2 linked regions of the Rattus norvegicus genome follow. The protein of the gene in region 2 interacts with the protein of the main gene of each other region in a pairwise test. Links are inferred from orthologs where the notes say so. Each region holds a gene or a part of one and is shown on either strand. Other genes may lie near its edges.

Region 1 (3,649 bases), on a different chromosome or scaffold from region 2:
ACTTATTGCCCAGCATTCACACGGCGGTTGGTAATCGCAACTCAATCCAGAGCCCTCTCCTGACCTCCAAGGGCATCAGGCATGCAAGTGGTATTCATAGCGATCTACAAGCAAAATAACTATCCACATAAACTAACAATTCCAAAGGAAAAGTTAGAAAATAAACACAACAAAAGGGAGCATGAAGCTACAACTGCTTTCGTGTTGGTTACCTTTCTGTGTTCCGACACCAGCAGCCTTAGCTGCATTTCAATTTCATTGCTCGTGGCTGACGCGTCAATCGTGGACGCGCACAGAGGGGGGAAGGGAGGGAGAGACGTAGTAGCACCTGGAGCACACACAGACTTAATTGCTTCTTCGCTCATGGGTTTCCACTTAGATTCATCATTCAAATCAAATACGCATGTCTCTACTGCATCCGAGGGTTGACAGTTCCCCAGGAACGTCTGATGGTTGAAAACGCAGCCGACTGTTCGGTAGGGGTACAGGGGTTTGGGCTGCTCAGCAAGAGGAGGTTCATCAGGATTCGTAGGCTTGTGGATGTACCTAAAAGAAATGGCAGTTTTGCACTATGAGAATCTTTAAAGATAAAGGAGTTCTCTTACTCTTGCTTGCTCACATGTGTGCGCTTCTGTGCAGATGGGAGGCCAACACTGTGTCTCACTGCGACACTGTCCACTTTCCTTCTTCTGAAGATGAGGTCTTGCCCTGAACCCAGAGCTCACAGTTCTGGGTAAAATAGATGGTCACAGAATCCCCGGGGCCCTGCTGTCTTCCCTACTCACAGGTCTGGGGAGTATAGGACATGCCCACACTCAGCTTTTACGTGAGTTCTGAAGATGTGAACTCATGCTTGCACAGCAAACGCTCTACTGAGCCACCTCCCCAATTGAATACTCTGCCTCATCTACAGAGCACATCTTTAAAAACCAACTTCTATTTTTTTAACAATAGAAAATATTCTAAGCTGGGTGGCAGTGGAATACACCATTAATCTCAGCACTTGAGAGACAGAGTAGGGGTTGGGGATTTAGCTCAGTGGTAGAGCGCTTGCCTAGCAAACGCAAGGCCCTGGGTTCAGTCCCCAGCTCCGAAAAAAAAGAAAAAGAAAAAAGAAAAAAGAGAGAGACAGAGTAGGGCAAATTTCTATGAGTTCAAGGCCAGCCTAATCTACAAAGCAAGTTCCAGGAGAGCCAAGGCGACACAGAAAAACCCTGTCTTGAAGAAAAGAAAGAACGAAGGAAATATTCTATGTCTATGGTGAAGATCAAGAAAGTTTATCCCAGAGAGTATAAGAATTAAAATAATTTACCTGTATAATATTAGGCATGACTATTCAAAATGATTATCAGCTAGGGAGAAACAGAACTTAGGAAAATAGGGAAGCGGCCCAGCCCTCTACAACACTGAACGCTTAACACAAGATGAAGGAAAAACAAGAAAGAACATCCAAGAAGAACAGAGTTGGTGCCCACTTCAGATTTTCAAACTAAACCATGATTTTCAACTTGAACTCATTTTTAGTCTTAGGAATAATCACCAGAAAATAAATGTGCCAATCACACAAAATGAAAAGTCAATATATCATATGTATTTTACTAATAGCATGATAGTAAATATTTTAGAAGTACATAGTATTCTCCTAAAAGTCATTTACTTAGCTACCATATGTCAAAAAGCCTCTAATAACTAAGATTATAAACATGTACTTCTGAGTTCCATCCAAACAAGAAAAACAATTTCTCGGAGGCTCAGTGTGGAAAGATGCTGCCAGGCCTCCCGACCTGAGTGTGAGCTCCAGAATCCACATGGAGGAAGAAATCAAGTCTGCAAGTTGTCCTGATTTCCTCACACTGAATGAATGAATGAGTGAATGAATGAGTGAATGACTGCAGGGCCTTGGGTTTGATCCCCAGCATCACAATAATGCCTGTGTTTTATTTAAGTTTTCTCACGCTGTGGCATGCGAGTGGAAGTCAGAGGACAGGTGTGTGGACCTAGCTATCTCTCTGCTTGTGTCTACCCGCTGAACCATCTCATTGGCCCTAACCCTGCGGTATACTCTCCTTGTAAACTTAGCTGACTGACCTGTGCCCTGTTAAACTCTCCCAAAACATGATGGTCCCATCAGTTCCACAGGTCATAACCCATGCATGAGGTGCCCCCTTGGCCTTCGTCCCAACACAGACAAAGGCCTCCAGTCCATATCCAAGAAGAAGGCTGCACAGCAGGTTAGCGTGGTCTTCACAATCACCCTAGAAAGAAAGTCCAGTAAAATTAGTATGTAGTCATAGTTCTAGTAACACCTAAGTTTAAAAGATCAATAAAAACTTCAACTTTAATTTTTTATCCAGTGTTAATCTAAAACAAGGAGACAAATATGCTAATGTGAAGATTTATAAGGTAAAGGGGATGGACAAGCAAGTTGAAAAATACTTCAGTAGGAGATGCAAATTAATGAAGTGCTCAAATTAAGCAAACAAGTTCAACAGTGTTATATATACTTTTAAGGTAGGTAAAATGATTACAAGAACAATAAAACAATAAGATGTTTATTTTTGGGGTGAACTGACTTTCTGTGTTGTGGCACTGTTTCCTATAGGCTCTCACTATCTGGCAAGGACTAGCCTTCGATTTGCTGATGGCTGCTCTCTGGCAGAATGCGTGGATTACAGGAATGTCTCCACGCCCACCCCTCATTACACTGTGTCTAACTTAAAAACAGTATAAAACTCGGTAAGATCAGAGTAGAGTGAGTGCCTCGCACGCACAAAGCCTGGGTCTCCAGCACGCCACAAGCAGGCCAGATGGTACATATCTGTAAACCCAGCCCTCAGGAGGTAGACCAGAAGTTCAAATTCATCTCTGGCCACATAGTATAGGCATCTATTAGATATGTTTAAATGGACAGATATTTTAGGTATAAGATTATTATAGGCTACATGCAAAATTAGTGACTGAATATAAAAATGAAGAATTCTTTCCCTCAAAATTTTATTTCTGGTTCTATGGTTCTAACTACCCCTCCCCCAACACCCACCCTTTTTTTGCTGTGATGTAAACTGAACCCAGGAATGCTCTCCCACTGAGCTATACACCCTTATCATAATATTTAATGAAAACTTTTGGAGCCAGTATGTTTTCTTCCTGAGATTTTTGTTATAAAAAACCCGAAATAAAATTTAAGAGGCATTTAATGCAAAAGTTCATTTAATAACATCAAAAAGCCAAAGCAAACTAGGTATAGGGGGTCATGCCTTCCGCCCCGGCACTGGGGAAGCAGAGGCAGGAGGATCTCTTATATGTTGGAAGCAAACCTGGTCTACAGAGCAAGTTCTAGGACAGACAAATGGCTCAGCAGCTAAGAACGCTTTCTACTCTTCTAGAAGTCCTGAGATTAATTCCCAGCCACCACATGGTGGATTATAAGCTGGATGGAATCTGATTCCCTCTTTTGGCGTACATGAAAACAGAGTACCCATATACATAAAATAAGAAAAAGCTATGAATTCAATAGAAAAACTGTTCTTAGCATAAAAGAACAGGACCAATGAAATTTTATCTATATATTACCTGCAAATTATGGAATGATATGCATAATAAATAAAATTATAAAAGGTGATAAATTGGGAATGAATTATTAGTTGCT
Region 2 (3,649 bases):
GGCAAAAGGTCGGTGAGGAGGCTTTGAAGGCCCCAGTCCAGAGCACTGTCTCAAAGCAACACAGGTGTCTGGGAGCTAGCTAAAGCGGTGGAGTGCTGGTGGAAGGAGGGGACATTGCTGGCTCTGCTGCAGCAGGATGCCCAGGTGAGAGAGAAGAAGCACACTGCCACAGTTGTCCGTGAACTGGTTTATGGTTGATGCGGGTTGCCCTGGGAAATGGTAAGGGGACCATACCGTAACAGGGCTAAGCAACACAGAAAGGACTATGGGAGATTTCTCTTTTTGGTTGGAGTCTCAGGACAGAGTAGTTGGTGCTCAACTCTTGAGGTTTTTTTTAGCAGCTTTATTGAGGGATCATTGACAGATGTTAAACTGATGTCCCCTTGATGCCACAATCAAGGTGTAGCTCTTCCTGTTTGTGTTTCCCATGCTGTGGCTTACCCAGTCACTTTGTCAGATACAGGCGGCCATATCATCTGTTGATAGTGCCCTCGGTCACACACCTGCCTGCAGTAGCCTATGTCCTCCTCTTCCTTTCTGTTAGGCCTGGCTCCCTGAAGAGAAGTCTGGCTTCCCAGAGCTCGGATGACCACTTGAACAAACGGTCTCGCACCTCCTCTGTGAGCTCCCTGACTAGCACATGCACAGGAGGCATCCCCAGCTCCAGCCGCAACGCCATCACCAGCTCCTACAGCTCCACCCGAGGTGTCTCACAGGTGGGTCTCCATGAGCAAAGGAGCAGACCTCCCTCCTGCTTTGCACTGAACCTGGCTCTAGCCTGAAGTAGCAAATAAACGAGATCAGTGGGATAAACAGCAAGCAAACCTGGTACAGAGAGCCTGCAGATAGAGACTGAAAAGCAGTGCGGTAAATGGGACTGAAAGAGTTTGTTCAGTGTGGAATATAAAGGAGATTTATAGGCAACTAGAATTTAGTGTGAGTTTTGATGCATGAAGAAGTTGTCATTCTTGTTTAGAGTTAGTTAGCGTCCATAGGTGGGGAAGCCAGGCAGCCCCACTGGCAGGCGTGCTTGGGGTTGAGTATTGGTATTGACACTAGGAGCTGCACAGGCTCCTGCAGGTAGATCAGTCGCCCTTTGTGTTTTTCCTTTTGTTTTTGAGACACGGTCTCATGTGTCCCCTGGCTGTCCTGAAGCTTGCTGTACCTCAGGTTGGGCTTGAACGAGCAATGAGCCTCCTCTTTCTGCCTCCTGAGGATTAGGTCTCCAGCTTGCACCTCCATACCCAGCTGGTATTTTATATTCATATTCATATTCATGGGGTGTCAGAATCTGTAAAAGTGCAGGGTGTACTTGTTATTGTAGGTGATTTTTGTTGAAATAATGAATACAAGTATTACCTTTTTATTTTTTTTTTTAATTTCTTTTTTTTAACTTATTATTTTGCAGTGTGTGGTGGAATACATGGTCTACGTAGTAAATTGCAATCAGGGCTATGCAGTAAGACATGGTCTTAAAAAAAATAAAAGAAAAGAAAAATTATTTGGGCCTCTGAGAGTTTAGGGGCAACATATGCATGCAGGTGCCCAGAGGCCACCAATCTCCTAGAATAGGATTATAGTACTTGTGAGCAGTCTGGTGTGGAGGCTGGGAACCAACCTGGGTCGTCCTCAAAAGCAGCAAGTGTTTCTTAACCACTGAGCCAGCTCTCCACACTCTCAAAAAGGTTATTTTTAGTTTTGCTGTAGTTGTTTGTTTTTCTTTTTAGTTTTTTCAGACACAGTCTCTCAGTAAAATAGCCCTGGCTGTTCTAGAACTAAATATGTAGACCTGTCTGGCCTTGAACTCAAAAAATCCACCCTCCTTTGCCTCCCTAGTGCTGGGATTAAAGGTGTGTGCCTCACCGTCTGGCCAGTTCAGAACATCTGCCAGTAATGGTCTCAGATGTGTCTCTGCTTGACTTGCAGCTGTGGAAGAGGAGTGGTCCCACCTCTTCTCCCTTCTCCAGCCCAGCTTCCTCCCGCTCCCAGACACCAGAGAGGCCAGCCAAGAAGACAAGGTGATCATCATTCCCTCCTGGTCACTTTGTATGGACGGGGCAATGGGCTTAACAGGGATTAGCTGGTGGGCTGCTTTTTCTGACTCAGCAAATCAAAGAGTCAAACCCCAGAAAAGTAGCAAAGAGCCTGCTAGAGTTATGTCCCTGTCCTACAGTGAGAGCAGCTGATGGCTGGAGTTCCTTCTCTGTCTCATACTCCACTGGGAGTGGTGCAGAGTGGACCCGGTCAACAGGGAGCCTGAGTCTCTCGCCCCAGTTCACCCTTCCCTGGAGCTCAGCTCCCTCAAGGATCAGGTCTGTCTGTGTCTGGCCCCACCTCCCTACCTGCCACCCAGCCTTTTTTTATTTTGTATGTCTGTCTGTCTGTCTTGGGCCTGCTTCCTCACCAGTTCCTCCTTGTTCCTGGCACTAACCTACCGTTAGAGCCTGAAGATGTAGTCTGGGACCCTGGACTTGGCAGGCTTTGAGTAAAGCTTTGCAGATCCCTGTTCTGTATTTGATTAAAGGCTGGTTGTTCATGGCCTCTGTCAACTCATAGTGATATGCTGACACCTAGAGCTGTGGTTTTTCTAGACTTTGCCTGTGTAGGAATGTGCAAGTGTGTGTGGGGGGTGCCATGCAGCCTCCAGGCCTTCCCAAGTAAACCCTAGCTTTTCACAATCTCCACAGAGAGGAGGAACCATGTCACCAGTCCAGTTCTTCAGCTCCCTTGGTGACAGACAAGGAGTCCCCAGGAGAAAAGGGTAAGTAGAGAAGCCATGGGAGCCGAGAGTGGCATCTCCAGTGGAAGTTAGCCACTGTGAGGCTTGGAAGATAGTTGTAGCCCTTTGGAGGTCCAGCATAGGAAGAGTGTCCACTGCAGAATATGAGGACTGCCAGGCCATGAGCTCAGGGTTGGGCTCTGAGGAGTGGGGTCACAGCTGTTCCGGAAGCAGTCAGAAACAACACTAACACAGAAAACAATCTCTTCCAAACTGTCTTGACCTTACTAGGGAGGCCAGCAACCCTTGTTTCTGTAGTTACAGATCCAGCCACGGGGAAGCAGCAGAGCCTGTGGACTTCCCCACCCACACCTGGCAGCTCCGGGCAACGCAAACGCAAGATTCAGCTGCTGCCCTCCCGGCGAGGGGACCAGCTCACCTTGGTATGTCTTATCGATCCCTCTCAGCTCTTTTAGTCTTAGGGAGTCTGGGGCAGGTTTCCACAGCTTCTGGGGTTGGTCTAACCTGTCTCTGTTTGCTTGGGCAGCCTCCACCCCCTGAGCTTGGCTATTCCATCACTGCTGAAGACCTGGACATGGAGAGGAGAGCCTCACTGCAGTGGTTTAACAAGGTCTTGGAGGATAAGACGGGTAAGACTGTGGAGCTCAGCATGCTCTGTGTGTGTTTCAGCTTTCCTGGGGAGAGAAGTTGTAGAATACTTGATTTTTCCATTTAGTTCTGAGTCTCATCTTCCAAGACTGCCTTCAGAGTCATAATACTGCTGCTTCAGCCTCCAAAGTGCAGGGTTTCAGATGTGTGCCATCACAACCAGCTCTTGGGTCTTTGTCCCCACTTGTTCTACCAGGGGCCTTATTACCAGGAGCTGTCACCAATACTTTCCCATGGGAAATGGGAGTTTTGAATTGTGTG

What was found.
Region 1: the proteins of Pom121 (region 2) and Cep76 interact in binary tests that used the Homo sapiens proteins (3 or more experiments, as listed by UniProt). The two-hybrid records come from large-scale screens. The link is inferred for Rattus norvegicus from reciprocal best matches to the Homo sapiens genes POM121 and CEP76.

What each region holds. Positions count from the first base shown.
Region 1 is NC_086036.1:63,454,336-63,457,984, forward strand, and holds part of Cep76 (centrosomal protein of 76 kDa), read right to left. Parts: intron 2,256-3,649; coding exon 2,089-2,255; intron 547-2,088; coding exon 213-546; intron 1-212. UniProt on the Homo sapiens protein: Centrosomal protein involved in regulation of centriole duplication. Required to limit centriole duplication to once per cell cycle by preventing centriole reduplication.
Region 2 is NC_086030.1:26,919,889-26,923,537, forward strand, and holds part of Pom121 (nuclear envelope pore membrane protein POM 121), read left to right. Parts: intron 1-544; coding exon 545-716; intron 717-1,926; coding exon 1,927-2,018; intron 2,019-2,687; coding exon 2,688-2,761; intron 2,762-3,037; coding exon 3,038-3,162; intron 3,163-3,266; coding exon 3,267-3,369; intron 3,370-3,649. UniProt on the Homo sapiens protein: Essential component of the nuclear pore complex (NPC). The repeat-containing domain may be involved in anchoring components of the pore complex to the pore membrane. When overexpressed in cells induces the formation of cytoplasmic annulate lamellae (AL).